Linked DNA regions of Anolis sagrei. Each later gene encodes a partner of the first gene's protein in a complex. Links are inferred from orthologs where the notes say so. Each region holds a gene or a part of one and is shown on either strand. Other genes may lie near its edges.

Region 1 (10,295 bases):
ATAAACAGAAATAGTAAAATCCAACTATCTTCTTGAGGGATTGGATACAGTCCAATACATTGATGTCTAGACTGAATGGCCATCTGTCAGGGGTGCTTTGAATGTGATTTTCCTGCTTCCTGGCAGGGGGTTGGACTGGATGGCTCATGAGATCTCTTCCAATTGTATAATTCTATGAATCTATGTGCAGGACTTTGTTTTCTTTTCAATGACATTTTTGTAGAGTGTTAGAAACACGTATAGACCCTGTAAAAATCTGTTTGCATACAATATAAAGCCTATGTAAATGCTACTGGAACATGGTAAAAGCAAAGAAATAATACGTCCTCATTCAATAGTGATTCATTTATATGCTTCCTTCCAAAGTATCTGAAAGCCCGGAAGATCCAGAGGAATGTCTTCTATATCACTTAATCCTTTACTGGTTGAACTGCAGCTGGTCAGACCCTCATTTCCCTGCACAGGATAAAAAGTGATTGTATTCAGACTATATTCATAAGAGCTGTTATTTCATTTTAGCCCTTACACTTATGCTATTATAATACTTTTTAAAAGTAGAATAATAGAATCAGAGTTGGAAGAGACCTCGTGGGTCATCTACTCCAACCCCATTCTGCCAAGAAGCAGGGAAATCGCATTCACAGCACCCCCAACAGATGGCCATCTAGCCTCTGTTTAAAAGCCTCCAAAGAAGGCGCCTCCACCACACTCTGAGGCAGAGAGTTCCACTGCTGAACAGCTCTCATGGTTAAGAAGTTCTTCCTAATGTTCAGGTGGAATCTCCTTTCCTGTAATTTGAAACCATTGTTCAGCGTCCTGGTCTCCAGGGCAGCAGAAAGCAAGCTCCCCCCCCCCTCCCCGCTTGTTATGACTTCCCCTCACATATTTATACATGGCCCTCATCATGTCTCCTCTCAGCCTTCTCTTCTTCAGTGCAGCTCTTTAAGCCACTCCTCATAGGGCTTGTTCTCCAGACCCTTGATCATTTTAGTCTCCCTCCTCTGAACACATCCCAGCTTGTCAGCATCTCCCTACAATTGCCCAGAACTGGACAGAGTATTCCAGGTGTGGTCTGACCAAGGCAGAATAGAGGGGGAGCGTGACTTCCCTAGATCTAGACACTATGCTCCTATTATTCATGCCAAAATTCCATTGGCTTTTTAAGCCGCCACATGACTGTTTATATATCTATGGAATGTCCAGGGTGGGAGAAAGAACTCTTGTCTGTTTGAGGCAAGTGCGAATATTACAATTCTCACTTACCTCAAACAGACAAGAGTTGTTTCTCCCACCCTGCTGTAAATGCGGAATGTCCAGGGCGATAGAAAGATCTCTTGTCTGTTTGAGGCAGGTATGAATTTTGCCTTTGTCCACCTTGATTAGCACTGAACGGTCTTGCAGGTTCAAAGCTGGGCTGGTTGCTGCCTGGAGGATCCTTTGTTGGGAGGTGTTAGCTGGCCCTGATTGTTTCCTGTCAGGAATTCCCCTGTTATTTGCATGTTCCCCTTTATTTACTGTCCTGATATTAGAATTTTTTTTAATACTGGTATCCAGATTTTGTTCATTTTTATAGTTTCCTCCTTTCTGTTGAAATTGTCCACAGGTTTGTGAATTTCAGTGGCTTCTCTGTAAAAATGAAAATGACCATAGTCTAGCTACCAGTATTAAGATGGCTCCTCTGTGTAATCTGACATGGTAGGTGTTAGATCCCAAAAAAGGATTCCCCAGAAAACAACCAGCCTGTCTTTGAAGCTGTAGGTCCATTCAATGCTAATCAAGCTGGCCAATGGCAGCATTCACACTTGCCTCAAGCAGACAAGAGTTCTTTCTCCCACCCTGGACATAATTCCACAGATATATAAACCTCATTTGCCTAGTTTCCAAAAGACTTCACAACCTGTGAGGATGCCTATCATAGATATGGGTGAAACGTCAGGAATGAATGCTTCTGGAACATGGCTATATAGCCCAGAAAACTCACAGAAGCACAGTGATTCTGGCCATGAAAACCTTCGACAACACATTAAAAGCCATAGTTTAAAATGGACTAGGCAAACCTTCCGGAAGAGATAGAAATACGATTTTCTGCTGTTTACATGCAAAAATAAATGAGAATTTTTGCACAGAATGAGTCTGAAGAGTGTGAAAATGTGCATCAGACCAAATCCTCACTTTTTCTTGATACTTGAGAAACAAGATTTGACGGTTTTCCCAAACATTTTGGAATGTTTGTCTTGCAATTCCTATCAATGTCCCACTTGAGTGTTGTAAACCCATTTCACTTGGAAGGGAAAAAGATTCTGTTGAGTGACTCTCTCTTGCCCTTCTCCTTCCATGAGACTTGGAGCCCTTCCACACAGCCATATAACCCAGAATATCAAGGCAGAATACCCGACAATATCCGCTTTGAACTGGTTTTTCTGAGTCCACACTGCCATATCTTCCAGTTCAAAGCAGATAATGTGGGGTTTTATTCAGCTGTGTGGAAGGGGCCTTGATCTCTTTGAGGAAGCCCAAAAGCAGGTCCACCACCGACTCCTCCTGCTGTATTTCTGCCTCTTCTTGGCAGCAGATGTCTCCAGAAATGGTGCTGAAGGATCGGTTTCACACCTTACGCTAAGAATAAAGCCGTCCCTTCACAGCTTTAAGAGGCGAGGAAGGGAAGAAAGGCGGCCGCCTCTGTATTTTCGCCTCGAGACTATGAAATGTCTCTTCCTTCCCCCTCTCCAGCCCCTTCCTATAATTTGAGCCTGAGGAAATCATTTCTTTGAAAGCATTTATATTAATCTCTACAGGGTTTGGGAAATGCAGCCCTTAATTGTGTTAAAAATAGTTGCATTTCTGCACATTGGCCGAGGAAGAATCCCTCTGTTTGGCTTCTTCTGAAAGGTGAATGAGAGCAAAAGGCAGGAATGGCTGAATGGGCTCCTTCCTTCCTTCCCACCTGCCTCCATTTCCGTGGCCTCCCCGAGGAATGGCGCAGGCCCCATTTTAGAAATGATAAGGCAGCATAAATTTAGCTCCTCTGAAGAGCTGCTGCAAGATAACCGTTGATCCTGGGAACAACTCAAAATGATTGCTTGGCTTTTATTTTGGTCAGCGGAGGGGACAAAGCAAAACAAGATGAAACCACATTTACCTACTCAACCCCTCACACACTGAAATGAAGTCTATTTTCTGTCTGATCTTTTTGAGGGGATATAATTATGATTATTGATTACCGGAGGGGAAAGCTTATATATGCATATCTCTGTTTCTGTGTTTTGTCTGCTGCGTTTTGTGCATTTTAAAATATAGGGTAATTCAGCCCCGCTGGGCTCCATACATTAAGTAGAGCCGGTTCTCTGTATCCATGGGTTCTGCCTCCACAGATTCAACCCAACACAACTCGAATATCTGTCTGTCTGTCTATCTATCTATCTATCTATCTATCTATCTATCTATCTATCTATCTATCTAAAGAGTTACAAGCTCTTTCTGTCATGTATTAGAGTAGTTTGCTTGTATTTTACAAGGTAAAGGTAAATAATAATAATAATAATCCTTTATTTATACCCCGCTACCATCTCCCGAAGGACTCGGTGCGGCTTACAAGAGGTCAAGCCCAAATACATCAGTAAAAAAGCAACAACAACAATACAGACAATAAATAAACTCATAAACAAAGCAATAAACAGTAACAATAACACCACAACGCATTAAAAAGCCATGGCAGGCCAATTGTAATAATTAAAATTTTAAAAATGCTGGGCATGACAAGGTGTCATATAACTAGGATAGGTATTTGAAGAGAGATGGAGTGAGCAGACAATCCTAGATCATTAGTAAAGTGCGATTAGGGACATGTTGCTTGGGTTTCCTTATTCTGGGAAGGCACACTGGAACAATCATGTTTTCAGGCTCCTCTTAAAGACTGCCAAAGTTGGGGCATGCCTAATGTCCTTGGGAGCGAGTTCCAGAGTCGAGGGGTCACCACCAAGAAGGCCCTATCCCTCGTCCCCACCAATCGTGCTTGCGATGGAGGTGGGATCGTGAGTAGGGCCTCTCCAGATGAATGAAGAGATCGTGTGGGTTTGTACACAGAGATGCGGTCACGCAGGTAGGTGGGTCCCAAACTGTTTAGGGCTTTGTAAGTAAGCACCTGCACCTTGAATTGGGACCGGAAAATGAACGGCAGCCAATGGAGCTCCTTAAACAGGAGGGTTGACCTCTCCCTGTAAGGAGCACCAGTTAACAACCTGGCCGCCGCCTGTTGGACCAGTTGAAATTTCCGGGCCGTTTTCAAGGGTAGCCCCACGTAGAGTGCATTAGAGTAATCCAATCTGGTTTTCCCCTGAGAACAAGCCCTATGAGGAGTGGCTTAAAGAGCTGGGCATGTTTAGCCTGAGGAAGAGAAGGCTGAGAGGAGACATGATGAGAGCCATGTATAAATATGTGAGGGGAAAACATAGGGTGGAGGGAGCAACTTGTTTTCTTCTGCCCTGGAAGTAGCAGCCAAAAGTAAAAGGACCAAGGCAGTGACATCTCTAGCTCATCCCTTATTTGGGTATCAGCCAGCACGTCAATGACTTAAATCAAGAAATAGTTTTCTAAGATCTACAGAGACACTAGCTGGAACACCCCAGCAAGCGAGAGTCCAAAAGTGGCAGGCTCAAACCCAGAACCTCAATCAATGGCTGAAACCCCCTGGGCACACAGAAGACTGGGAAACTTGGAAGGCGCTGAACAGACTGCACTCTGGCACCATGAAATGCAGAGCCAATCTTAAGAAATGGGGCTACAAAGTGGAATCCACGACATGCGAGTGTGGAGAAGAGCAAACTACAGACCACCTGCTGCAATGCACCCTGAGCCCTGCCACATGCACAATGGAGGACCTCCTTGTGGCAACACCAGAGGCACTCTAAGTGGCCAGATACTAGTCAAAGGACATTTAACCAACTACCAAGCTTGCAAACTTTGTGTTTTGTCTTTTTGTCTGTTTGTTTTGTTAAAAATGTAATACAACTGTCTGGTTGCTCCTGACACGATAAATAAATAAATAAATTCTGCCCTGGAGACTAGGATGTGGAACAATGGCTTCAAACTATAGCAAAGGAGATTCCACCTGAATATGAGGAAGAACTTCCTAAATGTGAGAGCCGTTCAGCAGTGGAACTCTCTGCCCTGGTGGAGGCTCCTTCTTTGGAGGCTTTTAAACAGAGGCTAGATGGCCATCTGTCAGGGGTACTTTGAATGCAATTTTCCTGTTTCTTGGCAGAGGGTTCGACTGGATGGCCCATGAGGCCTCTTCCAATTTGATGATTCTGTGCTTGTTTGCCATTTGATTACACATCAGCATGCTAGAAATGAATGTGTCTAATCTTTGAGGAAAAGTGAAACAGTGTGTGTGTGTGTGTGTGTGTGTGTGTGTGTGTGTAAGTGGGTGCACGTAGATATTAATGATGTATTATTTTTCCTTCCTCAGTGTATCTGAAGTTTGATTTCTGAAAATGTCTGAAGAGTGAGTAGTAGTCTTTTTTTAATTTGCTTTATTTTTTCTGATATAGCAAGCCAAGGTGGCTCACAACAAACAGGTCACAATATTGATTAAAAACAGAGCCAATGAATTAAAATATAAATATCAAAATTAAAAAAACAAATATTTTGTGTCATAAAGCATAAATATTAAAATACAATAAATATACAATTAAAACTACATTTTAAAATATCACCATTAATCATAGTAGGGGTGAGTGGGTGTTTTGCTACTTAATATCTGGTTTCTTTACAAGCAGCATTGCAGAGAGTAGAAGTATGGAAATTTATTCAGAATCTTCCACATGTATGATAATTGACATAGATTCACTGGGTTGCTGTGAGTTTTCCAGGGTATATGGCCATGTTCCAGAAACATTCTCTCCTGACGTTTTGCCCACGTCTATGTTGAATTATTTCAGCCAGAGAAGTCAGCAATTAACCAACCTGAACACAGCATAGTATTTGAGGACATAGAAATGCTGGGCCACTCTAACAACCATCATGTCAGACTACACAGAGAAGCCACTGAAATCCACAAGCATGGGGACAATTTCAACAGAAAGGAGGAAACCATGATAATGAACAAAATCTGGCTACCAGTCGTTTAAAAAGCTCTAAAATCAGGACAGTAAATAAAGAGTAACACTCAAAAAAGCAGGGAAATCCAGACTGGAAACAATCAGGGCCAGCTAACACCTCCCAATAAAGGATTCCCCCAGCAGGAAGCAACCAGTCTTCGAAGCTGCACGGCTATTCCATACTAATCAATCTGACCAATTGCAACATTCACACTTGCCTCAAGCAGACAGGAATTCCTTCTCCCTCCCTAGACATTATTCCACAGATATATAAACCCCACTTGCCTAGTTTCCAACAGACCTCACAACCTCTGAGGATGCCTGCTATAGATATGGGTGAAACATCAGGAGAGAATGCTTCTGGAACATGTCCATACAGCCCGAAAAACTCACAGCTACCTAGTGATTCTGGCCATGAAAGCCTTCGACAACACATTGATATAGATTCAGATTTCATATGCTTCTGGAAGGTAATTTGTGCCTCTTGAGTTGGGAGGAGGACTGAGGAAATCAAAATTTCTTGAGGAATGAGTGATCCTTTTGAGCATTTTTATCTGGAATTCAAAAATATTCTAAAATCCAAAATTGTTGGCAAATGTCTGAGACAGTTACACCTTGGTTTTCTTATGGTTTAGTATATGCACCCTTTGTGTCATGTACAAAGTATTGTATGGCCTTACCTTCATGCTATGTGTACAAAGTCCATATGAAGCAGGAATTAATTTTGGGTTTAGACTTGGGCCCTGTCTCAAAGATATCACATTATGTATTTGTACAGTATATACAAATAGTAGTAGTAGTAGCAGCAGTAGTAATATTTTTATTTTTGTGTTGTCGAAATGACCGGAATCCCTGGGTTGTTGTGGGGTTTTTTCGGGCTATATGGCCATGTTCTAGAGTAGTGGTTCTCACCCTGTGGGTCCCCAGATGTTTTGGCCTTCAACAAGGAGCCTGTGTTGTCCATAGACACCTCCTGATTGTGTGGCCAGCATGCCTACATAGAGTGTCTTTTTGCCTTTCCCAGCAAGGCAGTACCTATTGGTCTACTCACATTTGCATGTTTTTGAGGTTGGCAGGAGCTAGGGCTAACAGTGGGAGCTCACCTCATCCTACAGATTTGAAATGCCTACCTTCGGGTCAGCAGTTCAACAGCACAAGGGTTTAACCCATTGTGTCACCCACAGCCCCCTATGCTGTACATGTATTCCAAAAATCGAAAACAATCAAAAACACTTCTGGTCCTAAGAATTTCAGATAAGGGATACTTAACCTGTGTTGAGTGAAAATTGAAGCCCTGGGAATGAAAACACATTAAGCAGTTTTCAGATCTATAAATGTGATTTATTCTGACTGATTGGGTTTCGTCTGTCTTTTACAGGGAAGAAATCACTGTGAGTACCCACAACAAAGCATCTTCAAGTTGGATGAACAATGACCATTCATCTTTTATTTTGTGCTGTGTTCTTTTCCTCTTTCAAATGAGAGAAACTCTTGTTTTTGTTAGTTTTCTGCCACATGTGGTAACTACAATGTAAAGGAATTGGTGGGACTGATTCCTGAATAAATATGCTAAATGAACGAACCAAAGCCATTCCCATAGAGCAAATGTGCTCATTCTACTGCTACTTGTAAGCTCACAGACCCACAAATCCAAGATAAGACTTATAGCTGATACATCTATGGTTTTGTGTCTGTCCAAATCTCCCTTTTATCTCTGGAATCCTATAATATCTGTTAATTAATGTAAATTAACGTATCACTGGAATCCTATCTCACCTTTTAATTAATTTAGCTTTGAGTAGTAGAAGTACTATGAAATCCTCTGAGCGAATTGCTAAGATCATGGTGTGTATCAGAACACCCCCAAGAGAGCCTAATGTGCATTGGGACCAATGCACATCAGTGTTCAATGTGCATCAATGCACTCTGTGCATCAGTGTGCAATATGCATTGGGCATTTTGCTGGCTCTGCCATGTAGTGATGCAACAACAGCCCTCAGATCAATACGGACTTTATAAAATTGACCTATTCTAGTTCATGTGTGTGTGTGTGTGTGTGTGTGTATGTGTGTGTGTATGTGTGATATCTCTCCTATAGAATTATATCTAATATTTTTAACAACATATTTGTATTTAATTTAAATGTGAAAGAATCTCTCTACTGGATTTTGCACTTTAGCTTTTGGGAACATGAGTTCCCAAAGTGTTTGCAAGGGATCACCTGTGGTAGTTTTTTAGAACTCGTCTCCTTTACAAATTTTGAAATGATTTGTTTTTAGACATAACTTCCAGAAGTTCTTAATTTCTAAACAAAGTCAAGAATCAAGCTATTTTAGGATTATATTTCTCCCCCTCAAATTATTATTATTATTATTATTATTATTATTATTATATATTAATTATAATATAATAATAATAACAACAATAATAATAACAACAACAACAATATGAGGATTTAAAGATCAAACTGCAAACACTCTGGCACAAACCAGTAAAGGTGGTCCCAGTGGTGATCGGCACACTGGGTGCAGTGCCTAAAGACCTTGGCCTGCACTTAAACACAATCAGTGCTGACCAGATTACAATCTGCCAGCTGCAAAAGGCCACCTTACTGGGATCTGTACACATTATTCACCGATACATCACACAGTCCTAGACACCTGGGAAGTGTCCGACGTGTGATCCAATACAACAGCCAGCAGAGTGATCTTGTTTGCTGTGGAGTCTTGTTGTGTTTCTAATAATAATAATAATTATTATTATTATTAATAATAATAATATTCCGCTCCATTTTCCCAAGGGGATTACGGTATACACATATATAGGCAAACATTCAATGCCTTGTATACAGTGAACAATGAAATACAATACAAAAACAAAGACAAAGATTTCCCTTTCCATCTCCGATGTCTAGAAGCGATTCTCAACTCTGGCCATGGGGAGGAGCTTTTGTTGCACGTTTCCATGCTGAGAAGCCTGTTGTGCGTAGACCTTCCTGGTCGTGATTGCCGGCATGGCTGCATGGGCATCTTTTACCTTCCCACCAAGGTGGTACCTATTAATCTACTCACATTACGTGTTTTCAAACTGCTAGGTTGGCAGGAGCTAGGGCTAATGGCAGGGGCTCACCCCAGCTTCGAACTGCCTTCTGGTCAGCGGTTTTTCTGCAGCTAGCGGGTTACCCCACTGTGCTACCACAGCTGTACCGGTAGGCTGTTAGGAATTGTGGGAGTTGAAGTCCAAAAGACCTGGAGGGCCAAAGCTTACCCATGCCTGAGTTAACACAAGCAAAAGCAAACTGGTGTAGCCTTCCTTAATGTCTGCCATCTTGACCACAATCCGGTGTGGCTATCTTGACCACACTCTGATGTTTCTTGGCTATACATATTGAGCCTTTTATCTGTGAATTATTAGGGAATATGAAATTACAGACAAGATGGACTATAAATCCCATAATTTTGGACAGTATAGCCTATGAACATAGATGATGGGAATACTAAAGAATATCTGGGAGCTCAAGCCTGGGAAGCATTGAATTAGGGCACAGTATACTAGTTGTCAAGCCTGAAGGCACCAGGCCCTGTCTGAGCTAATCAAGGCAGAGTCAGGCTTAATTCATACTTAAGATAAGGGACTGCCAAGAAATACAAGGTATTGTAGGGTATGATGGCAATGGCAAACTACTGTTGAGTATCCCTTAACAAAGAAACATTCATGAAATTCATGGTGGTTGCCACAAGACTGCAGAAAGCTTGATGACACTCCCACTGACTCTCTTTCTAAGAAAAATGACCAAAGGAAAACCTTACCCCACCCAAATAAAACTGGTGACATCTAGTGGGTGAACTATAAATGACAGAAAGACAAATGAAGTCCTGGATCTGACTAGGAATTTATATTACAATACTTATTTACTTCCTTACTTAGGCAATCCCTTGTAGCCTGAGAATGGTGGCCTTCCAAGTGTATTGTCTTGGCGTTGGGTCCATGGGTAGCTGTGGGGCCCTATTCTTGATCCGCATGTTCTCCCATAGTGAGGAAATCGGTTTCCAGGTGGAAGGCGGTCCCGGTCAGGGCTGGCTTGATGTGCCTTCCTCTTGTCAAGTTTCTCCCTTTCGCCCGCCATCCATGCCTTTTGAAATTCTGCGGCACTGCTGGTCACAGCTGGCCTCCAGTTAGAGCACTCAAGGGCCAGGG
Region 2 (10,231 bases), on another chromosome or scaffold:
TGCTAAATGCAGCCATCTTTTTTTCTACTTCATATAATACAGTATTTCCCATTCCTACTATAAGTCCTTCTTTGGTACAATACAAGCCCTGTATCTGCAGGACCAATGCCTGCAGTTTCACAAAAAAATATATGTTCTGAGATCCACCAATGCAATTTTATAGTCTGCTCCTACCGGAAGTTGTTCCTTTCAATGGGACATGCTATTATCCACAGTTTCCATGGAAGGCCAGAAACATGTTCTACATGTATAGGTGCGGTTCATGCTGTACCTATTCTGATACAACTTCAGCCACAGTTTCTTCATTGAACCAATGCTATTTGACTCTTCCATGCCTGCCAACATTTCACAAATGAAAAGCAGAAGAGATGGCTAAGCCAAATCAGAGTATGGTTAAAATGGTGTGAGAAGGCAAGAAAGAGACAAACGCTAAAGAGGAAGGCACATGAAACAACTATTTTAAAGCAGAGAAATCCCTCAATTTATGTAAACAGTTTCAGAGACATATCCCACCCCCACCCCCGTTTCCCCCTCCCTCTTGATGAGTTAATACTTTGTATTTCAAATTCATTTTGCAACATTGGAGTAAGTTAAAAACAAAAGCGGAAGGTGGGCGGACATGAGGTTTACTGGGATATTTTAAAAACAGCTGGGAAAGTAGGACTTTCTCAAGGACCATGCCTGCCAAATCAGGGCAGTTGAAAGGTATAATATTAATACTGAATGCCATTCTAAATTGTCCCATGTCTGGAAAATAACCATATGACTTGTGTTCTGTACAAACCTTTGGTTGTAGCTGACTCAAAATCCTAGAAATGGCAACTCTAGAATTCGTGTTTTCCTATTTGGGAATGAAAGGCATTTCATGATCCTGCTGTTCCTTATGTCTGATCAGTAGAGACACTGGTGTGTGTTCTGTTCTGATCGTCTCTTCAGGATAAGCTGCACTCAGAGATAACCCTAGTGTAATCTTTTGCCCCCGTCAAGTTGTTTGTGGAGCCAGAACAGCCTTATGGAAGTCATCAGTCTTGCCAAGCTAGCATGTTAACAATCCATTTCAAAAGATCGGGCACCTTCAGAGGATAATGACAGAAAAAGAGGAAGAGCCTGTCTATACTGGAAACAGATAACAATAGCAGCAAAACCGCCACTCAAAATTTTGTAGTGAAACCTGAATCCATTCATCTAAGCCTCTGTGATGGAAGTGGAGCAGCTGTGAGATGCTCTTTCATTGTAATAGCAGAAAACAAAACAAAAAAAACAAGCCTTTGGCAATCCAGGATAGCTGGAAACTCTGAAGGCAGTGAACAAATGCTTCTTGTCACTTCTGTTTGTGTCGCACATAACTTGACTATTTTGGCATGCTGGCTATTTTTATGCACTAGTGAGTGGCTGGGGTGCGAGTAAGGGTAAGAAAGATAACATGCCCAATTGTTCCCCCAACATGATTGACATGGGTATTTATCCCTGGAGACTTTTATCTAGACACACATCCCTGGCCATGTTCTCCGTACTAGCATCTGGACACTGTTCTAAACTTAGCTCTGTGTATAAGATGTCAGTGGGCAAGGTGAGAAATCAACTGGATTCCTCTGGTCCAAATGAATGGTTGTATTTAGAAATGATTGGGTATATTATTCATTACACATTTAAATGTGCAATCAACTCTGCAATAAAAGTCATGCATAACATAATGTTCTTTCTTTTGTGGGTAAGGTGTCAGAGGCATTGACAAGTCTGGGATCTAGCGTGGTATAATGACTGAAGTGTTGGACTATGATGCTGGAGACCAGGGTTAAAATCTCAGCTCAGCCATGAAGGGCAAGTCATACCCTCTCAGCCTTAGAAGAAGGCAAAGGCAAACCTCCTCTGAATATAAATTCTGACATGAAAACTCTATGGTTGGATCAACATAAGTCAGAAATTATGTGAAAACACTAACAACATTGTGTTGTCGAAGGCTTTCATGGCCGGAAACGCTGAATTGCTTTGAGTTTTCCAGGCTATATGGCCATGTTCCAGAAGCATTTTCTCCTGACATTTCACCCACATCTGTGGTAGGCATCTCCAGAGGTTGTGAGGTCTGTTGGAAACTAGGACAAATGAGATTTATATATCTGTGGAATGTCCAGGGTGGGAGAAGGAACTCTTGTCTGTTTCAGGCAGAATGTTGCAGTTGGCAACATTAATTAGCACTGAATGACCTTGCAGCTTCAAAATCTGGCTGCATCCTGCCTGGGGGAATCCTTTATTGGGAGGTGTTAGCTCACCCTGAGTGTTTCTTGCCTATTTCCAACAGACCTCACAACCTCTGAGGATGCCTGTCATAGATGTGGGCAAAATGCCAGAAGAGAATGCTTCTGGAACATGGCCATACAGACCAGAAAGCTCACAGCAACCCAACTAACAACATTGACTTGGAAAGGAGAAATCTGGTTTGAAATCGTCCTTTAGCCATAAACCTCTTTTTTAGGTGACCTTTGGCATGCTAAGCCAGTCAGCTGAGAGCCCTTTCACACAGTCATATAACCCAGAATACCAAAGCAGATAATCGACAATATCTGCTTTGAACTGTGTTATCTGAGTCCACATTGCCATATAATCTAGTTCAATATGGATTTTATACAGCTGTGAGAAAGGGGACTAAACCTATGTGACAAAGACCTTTGAGGGTTAAATGAAGTACCCTCAACTCCTTAGGGAAAATATGGAATAAACATACAGTAAAATAATTTACAAAGTATAATGGTGCGCTCTAGAGCAGTGATTCCTCCAGTGGGTGATTTTTTCCTATAAAGGGGGAGGGGGCGCAGGGCTGGAAAAAGCCATGGGCATGGTAGTAGCCTGGGGTGCAATTTGAGAGCAGTGAATAATAATAAAAAGTAGTGAAGACATAAAGAAAGAAGAGAAGCAACTTTTGAAAAACCTTTCGTACATGCAAACACATTTAGACAGATTGTGATAAAACACAATTGCATTGTAAGTTTTTTTTTAAAAAAAATCTATAAAATATGGGAAAATTGCATTATATGAGTCCACACTGATCATATAATACAATTTCAAACTGCATTATAGGGCAGTGTAGACGAGACTCCAGCATGGTTTTTCAGACAGCCAGGACCATCATATTTCTATTTGCAAGTCAGCAACTAATAGCCTATTGTGGATTGGGCCACTGATGCAGGGAGGAGATATGGATTCTAACCTCACTCTACTATCTACCCCCTAACCCACCCCCACTATGGGATCTCAATGTATGTAAATCAATATCAGGCAATTTGTGAGTTTAAATGTGTTATCTCAGATATTCCTTGAAATGTAATCTTCCACTATTTAAACTACTGTGTGTCCATAGCCCAAATACAACTTTGCTTTGGTGGATTATTTACAAGCCATACCAGATGTTAAAATCCACTCTGGGAGCTTATCCCTCACTCTGATATGCAGGAATCATTCTTCTTCAATCTGTTTTACTAAGGTTTCTCAATAACAGGATTAACCACCGAAGAACCCAAACTCGATTAGTCTCTAAAAATAGCTTGGATTGTTCTTCCATTCACAATGAAATGAGGGTTTTTTTTTTAATTACTTCCATACATTTCTCTAGTGACTCCTTACCTACTTTTAAAACTAGACTCAGTTTGGTTTATATTTCAACTTCTAGCAATTAGGATTTAAAGTCCTTTCCCTTTGAGTATACATATACTTCAAATGTGACTTTATAACACATTAAATTATAATTGGCTTTTTACAAAGTTTTTTTTTCCGTGTCAGGAGCAACTTGGGAACTGCAAGTCACTTCTGGTGTGAGAGAATTGGCCACCTGCAAGGACGTTGCTCAGGGGACACCCGGATGTGTTAGCATCCTATGGTAGGCTTCCCTCATGTCCCCGCATGAGAAGCGGGAGCTGACAAACAGGAGCTCCCCCAGCTCCCCAGATGATGTGCTGTCAAATATTTAATGTAATGGCTGCAATAATTCACATGCAATATAGTACATTTAAAAGCTAAATCCTATGCAGAATTAAAGCAGGCTTAAGCCCTTCAAAATAATAAGCTCCAGCACATCTGTCCTTGTACAGGATTGGGCTATAGAACAAACCTGAACTTTAAAAAACTTGAGACAGTAGATTTGATTAAAGTAATCATGCAACCCATTTATATGCTATGCTGTATAAGAAACCTCTGCACCAAATAAAACACTTGTCAAAAGTTCTGTTACTACATTTAACCACATAATACGTGATCATCACTGCATAATATTTGTGACATCAGACTGAACATTATCACCCTGTTCTCTTGTCAGGAGGCAAAATGCAGTCCTAAACATGCTTAGCTAGAGATAAGTCCCAATGTATTATTACATATGAAAATCTTACTTACAGCTGCTTTATAAATATCATCCATAATTATTTATTGTTGGTCAGGAAGACTCAGGAGCTGGGCTTAGATGGCAAACTGTACAGAGACAAATTCCCAGTCTCTGCCAGCTTTCTCTCCTTAGAAGCTCTGCTTATATAGCAGGCTGTCAGCCCTAAATGTGTCCATCAAGAAGGGCTGATCACTGCTCCGCACAGCTTAGAGACACCCACAAAAGGCCATGCTATCCATTCCAGGCATGACTTTTCACCCTGTCTTCAGGGGAGGTATGTGAAGTTTGTTACAGCTGACATTTCTAAAGCCAGTTCCCAATTCCACTGATAGCTCTGTTTTCACTTCAGTAGACACAGAACTGAAGGAAAACCTGATCCTTCATTGATGCTTATTCCAGGATTCAGATGATACATGATCTCATGGTCCACCTCTGCTGCCTGAGTTCTGTTGTTCCCATCATCCATCCACATGACCAAGTCATAGCAAAACCAGGGCAGATGGTGAAGAATGCACAACTAATTTTTGACCACCGGGAATATAAAAAGATCCTACTGAAGGAACCGTCCTTTTTAAGAAACACTTTCCAAGATTCTGCATGAGAACCACAGACCCTTACGGCAGGAACATGGGCCTATGCTTCAAACCATGTAGTAGCCAAGGACCCTCCACACAGCTGAATAAAATCCCAGATTATCTGCTTTGAACTGGAATATATGGTAGTGTGAACTCAGATAACCCAGTTCAAAGCAGATATTGTGGGATTTTCTGCCTTGATATTCTGGGTTAATATATTTATGTGAAAGGGCCCTGAGAGGCAGAATCCCCCATTCAATAGATATTCCTCAGGCTGCTTTTAGCAGTTTGCTTGACGTATTCATCAACTCATTGTAACATCTAATTCTTCAGGGAGATGAGCACAAGCCTGGAAATGTTTCCAAAAATACGTCTTGAAATGATGTCTTCACATTGGATTGTATAAATTTCTGAACTTATTCTTACTATCTTTTTTCCTACAAGCATCATTGTGATGCGGTTGATGTTCTAACCTGGACAAAACAACTGCACTGACCTACACTTTTGCATCATTCAGGCAGAAGCATTCCTACTGAAAGTATGTTCCATATCACAAAACAGGATTTATCTCTCTCCATTGATCAGAGCTCCCTCCTCTGTCCAACTGAGTTGCAAGCAACTTAGGAAAGCTGGCCAAATTATAATGAAGTCAGGTATTTATGTGTCAAATATGTATGTGTATTTAAAATTAGCCTTGTACATGCCAGATATTGGGGAAATTACCCCATTTTTTAGAACTGCAAAAATTTTCTTGCCAGCATTCATTGTGAATTTTTTCCCTTGTTTATTTATATTGAGCAATTCTTCTCTTTTCTTCAAACAGGGAGGACTAACTTAAGACCAATAATAAATCATTTTTAAAATGTTAACTCTCTTTCTGCTCCAAATAGGTTTTTCCTCACCTTGCATTTGCACTAATGTGATATAGAGAACTCGTATGATACATTCTGCACCTAAAATAAAATAAATATCCCTTCAGGGGCTACATTGCGGATTTTCTTACTTTTTGGGTAGGATAATCCATTTTAAATGCATTCTGATATTCATACACTAACAAAAAAAGGATCACAGAATGGTCTGGATAGTGGTAGTAGATTGGTGCTAGAGATAGTTGCTACTGTGCTGTACAATAACCTATATAGCTTAAATATTATACCAAAGATGTATAGGAGAGTTGAAATACTGGAGGAAATATATTAGCCCTGTTTTCTCCTGGATAACAGAGCCCCCAGTGGAACAATGAGTTAAACCCTTGTGCCGACAGGACTACTGACCAAAAGGTTAGAGGTTCAAATCCAGGCAGCGTGGAGTGCTCCTGTCTGTCAGCTCCAGCCCCTCATGTGGGGACATGGGAGAAACATCTGGGTGTCCCCTGGGCAATGTCCTTGCAGATGGCCAGTTCGCTCACACCAGAAGCAACTTGCAGTTTCTCAAGTTGCTCCTGACTTGAAAAAAAATCCTGGATAACAACAGCAGGAGCTTCTTCCCTGAGAAAACAAAACATTATATGCAAGAATCAAAAGTTAATGTTCTGGCAAACAGCATAATAATAATAATAATAATAATAATAATAATAATCTTTATTTCTACCCCGCCACCATCTCCCCGATGGGGACTCGGAGCGGCTTACATGGGGCCAAGCCCAGACAACATAATACAGCAATAAAACCAAAGCATATACAACAGACAACAACAACATTATCAAAATGACATTAATAATAATAATAATAAACAGTCCAATAGACACAATCACGATAGAGATGACAATGGACAGGTCACATTTTCCAAATAACAAACCATTAACCAACTATGATGAGATAAAATAGGAGCAGGACATTTAAATGGAACTCATAAAACACAGAGCTGTGGGACAGAACATCCTATTTGGAGGTCACAAACTCCATTAGCCAAAAACGTTGAGGTGTAAAATATAATGCTGTGCACCTATTCGCCAAAGGCACAGTGCAAAAGCCAGGTTTTGAGGTTCTTTTTAAATGTTTCCGGTGAAGGGGCTTTCCTGATCTCCCCAGGTAAAGAGTTCCAAAGTCAGGGGGCCACAGAAGAGAAGGCTCTCTCCCTTGTGCCCACAAGACGAGCTTGTGAGATTGGTAGAGGCGAAAGGAGGACCTCCCCTGAGGAACGAAGGGCCCGGGTTGGTACTTGGAACGACGTACGGTCACGAAGGTAGCATAGTACTTTCAATGATGGCAGCGATTTGAAGTTTATTCTGCCTTTAACAAATTCAAGTATGTTGCAAGTCGCTTCTGGAGCGAGAGAATCAGCCGTCTACGAAGACATTGCCCAGGGGACACCCGGATGTCTTGCAATCCTGCGAGGAGGCTTCTCTCATGTCCCCCAATGCACAATGGAGGACTTCCTTGCGGCAACACCAGAGGCACTCCAAGTGACCAGCTGCTGGTCAAAGGACATTTAATCAAATACCAAACCTTGCTAATTCTGTGTTTTGTCTGTTTGTTTGTTTTTGTTAAAAAATGTAATACAAATGTCTGGTTGCTGATGACACAATAAATAAATAAATAAATAACAAATTTGAGTTAAATGTACTAAGCCTTTCTTTGCACTCCTTTCAAATGGCCTTGCAGCTTCAAAGCCTAGCTGCCTCCTGCCTGGGGGAATCCTTTGTTGGGAGGAGTTAACTGGCCCTGTTTCCCTTGTCTTCTGAGTGATGTTTTGTTGTTCTCAAGATCAATTCCCACCCCCAGGATTCCCTAGGATTGAGCCATGGCAGTTAATGACAAGCTGGAATGTGTCCAGAGGACGGCGACTAAAATGATCAAGCGTCTGGAGAACATGCCCTATGAGGAGTGGCTTAAGGAGCTGGGCATGTTTACCCTAAATAAGAGAAGGCTGAGAGGAGATATGATAGCCATGTATAAATATGTGAGAGGAAGCCACAGGTAGGAGGAAGCAAGCTTGTTTTCTGCTTCCTTGGAGACTAGGACACAATGGAACAATGGCTTCAAACTACAAGAAAGGAGATTCCATCTGAACATGAGGAAGAACTTCCTGACTGTGAGAGCTGTTCAGCAGTGGAACTCTCTGCCCTGGCGTGTGGTGGAGGCTCCATCTTTGGAGGTTTTTAAACAGAGGCTAGATGGCCATCTGTCAGGGGTACTTTGAATGCAATATTCCTGCTTCTTGGCAGGGGGTTGGACTGGATGGCCCATGAGGTCTCTTCCAACTCTTTGATTCTATGATTCTATGAAAGTGGTCTCAAACTGCGTCAATTCTACAGTGAAGTAGGAGCAGCCTTTGTCACTCAAGGACTTGCTGTGGGCGGAGCAAGATTTTCCAAAAGCTCCCTCTCCACATTGTTTATTTTCCAGGTGCCGCTTCCATCTGTTGAGAGGGGGGTTCGCCGTAAACGTTAAGCGAGCCCTGCATAAGAATGGGCGGTCACGACCCATAAGTAATAATAAAAAAATACCCCTTCCCAATTCCGATGGTATGGCCCATCCTGTGTTCGTTTAGCCCCGCCTCCAAAGCTCAGCCCCGCCCCCTCGAGGCCGAGGTTTTCGCGTTTCCTCCTCCTTCTGCGCAAGCGCAGAAAAGGAGTGTTAGCGACCGAGGGCGGGGCTTGTCCTTTCTCTCAGCGACTCTACTGGGCGTGAGGGGGAGGGGGGAATCAAAGATGGCGGCGGTGACAGCCCTGGCTGAGCTGGCAGAGGCCACTGCTGAGGGAGGCGGCGCAAGGGCCGCCACAACAACAACAACAACAACAAGAGCGGCCGAGTGAGAGCTTCCCACACCACCTCCCCTTCCAAGCGGCCTTTCCTCCTCTTCCCAGCTGTGGTGGTCGCCATGGAGGTGATGGGGGCCGGCGAGGAAGGCGAGGAACCCCCCAAAGTCGCCCGCGTCCTCGGCTCCGAGCTGGTGGAGAACTACACGGTGAGGAGGAGGAGGAGGAGGCCGCGGAGGGGCTTTCCTGAGGGAGGGAGGGAGGGAGGGAGGGAGGGAGTTCCCCCGAGGAGGGGAGGCACTTCCACTGCTGCTTCCATCACTTTCTGTGAGGTGCTCCATCCCCAAGGAAGTCAGAGTCCCACTCCTTTCTGCTTGGGTCAGACCTCAGCTGGGATCAGGCTGTGTCTAGTTCTGGGCACCTCAGTCCAAGAAAGGTATTGACAGGGCTAATGTTGGGAAGCCAAGCCCTACCAGGAACTGCTGAGGGAGCTGGCTGTGTTTAGCTTGGAGAAGACAAGGCTTGGAGAACTGGGAGGGATTATTCCATGAAACAAGAGGTTATGAATCAGGCATGGGCAAACTTCGGTCCTCCAGGTGTTTTGGACTTCAACTCCCAGCATTCCTAACAGCCTTAGGCCCTTAGGAAGGGGCCTGAGGCTGTTAGGAATGCTGGGAGTTGAAGTCCAAAACACCTAGAGGACCGAAGTTTGCCCATTCTTTACTATCTTTGCCTCTCTTCCCCAACCTCCTTACCTTTCCTTTGCTTCTATCCCTCTTCTTTTGCTTTTCATCATCAGTGCCGTCATCACTATGACACTTTTGTCCTCTTTTCCACCAAAGAATAGAATTCAAATAGGCAAGTTCTAGGCACCATAATACAAAAATGACATTGGCAAGCTGGAATCTGACCAGAGGAGGATGACCAACAGACTGGAAACCATTGCCTATGAGGAATGGCTTAGGAAGCTGGGTATCTTTAACCTGGAGAAAGAAGACTGAGAGGGGACGTGATCACAATGTTTAAATATTTGAAAGGATGTCACTTTAAAGGGTGGAAAAGCTTGTTTTCTGCTGCTCCAGAGACTAAGGCCCTTCCACACAGCCATATAACTCAGGGCCCTTCCACACAGTCCTATGTCCCAGAATATAAAGGCAGAAAATCCCACAATATCTGTTTTGAACTGGGTTATCTGAGTCCACACTCGGGTAATGTGGGATTTTCTGCCTTGATATTCTGGGATGCAGGGCTGTGTGGAAGGGCCCTTCGAATATCAAGGCAGAAAATGCCACACTATCTGCTTTGAACTGAGGGGTCCTTGCACACAGCCCTGTATCCCAAAATATCAAGACAGAAAATTCCACAATATCTGATTTGAACTGGGTTATCTGAGTCCACACTCAGATAATGTGGTATTTTCTGCCTTGATATTCTGGGTTGCGGGGAGCCCCCAGGGGCGCAGTGGGTTAAACCACTGAGATGCTAAACTTGTTGATGAAAGGTCGCATGTTCGAATCCGGGGAGCGGATGTAAGCTTCTGCTGTCAGCCCCAGCTTCTGCCAACCTAGCAGTTCGAAAACATAC

What was found. Proteins that work in one complex are often made in the same cells at the same time.
Region 2: the proteins of TNNI3 (region 1) and TNNC1 are in contact, whole or in part, in a crystal structure (PDB 4Y99), measured with the Homo sapiens proteins. The link is inferred for Anolis sagrei from reciprocal best matches to the Homo sapiens genes TNNI3 and TNNC1. Residues at the interface, in NP_000354.4 of Homo sapiens: Glu32, Pro33, His34, Ala35, Lys36, Lys37, Lys38, Ser39, Lys40, Ile41, Ser42, Ala43, Ser44, Arg45, Lys46, Leu47, Gln48, Leu49, Lys50, Thr51, Leu52, Leu53, Leu54, Ile56, Ala57, Lys58, Glu60, Leu61, Glu64, Arg136; in NP_003271.1 of Homo sapiens: Asp3, Ile4, Lys6, Ala7, Glu10, Gln11, Thr13, Glu15, Gln16, Glu19, Phe20, Ala22, Ala23, Ile26, Phe27, Val44, Met45, Leu48, Gln50, Glu59, Met60, Glu63, Glu66, Asp67, Gly68, Asp73, Asp75, Glu76, Phe77, Met81.

What each region holds. Positions count from the first base shown.
Region 1 is NC_090026.1:21,099,897-21,110,191, forward strand, and holds the start of TNNI3 (troponin I, cardiac muscle), read left to right. Parts: upstream 1-5,492; coding exon 5,493-5,503; intron 5,504-7,476; coding exon 7,477-7,489; intron 7,490-10,295. UniProt on the Homo sapiens protein: Troponin I is the inhibitory subunit of troponin, the thin filament regulatory complex which confers calcium-sensitivity to striated muscle actomyosin ATPase activity.
Region 2 is NC_090022.1:68,379,915-68,390,145, reverse strand, and holds the start of TNNC1 (troponin C, slow skeletal and cardiac muscles), read right to left. Parts: upstream 4,553-10,231; 5' UTR 4,408-4,552; coding exon 4,384-4,407; intron 1-4,383. Other genes in the region: NISCH (nischarin), read left to right, coding at 8,770-8,856. UniProt on the Homo sapiens protein: Troponin is the central regulatory protein of striated muscle contraction. Tn consists of three components: Tn-I which is the inhibitor of actomyosin ATPase, Tn-T which contains the binding site for tropomyosin and Tn-C.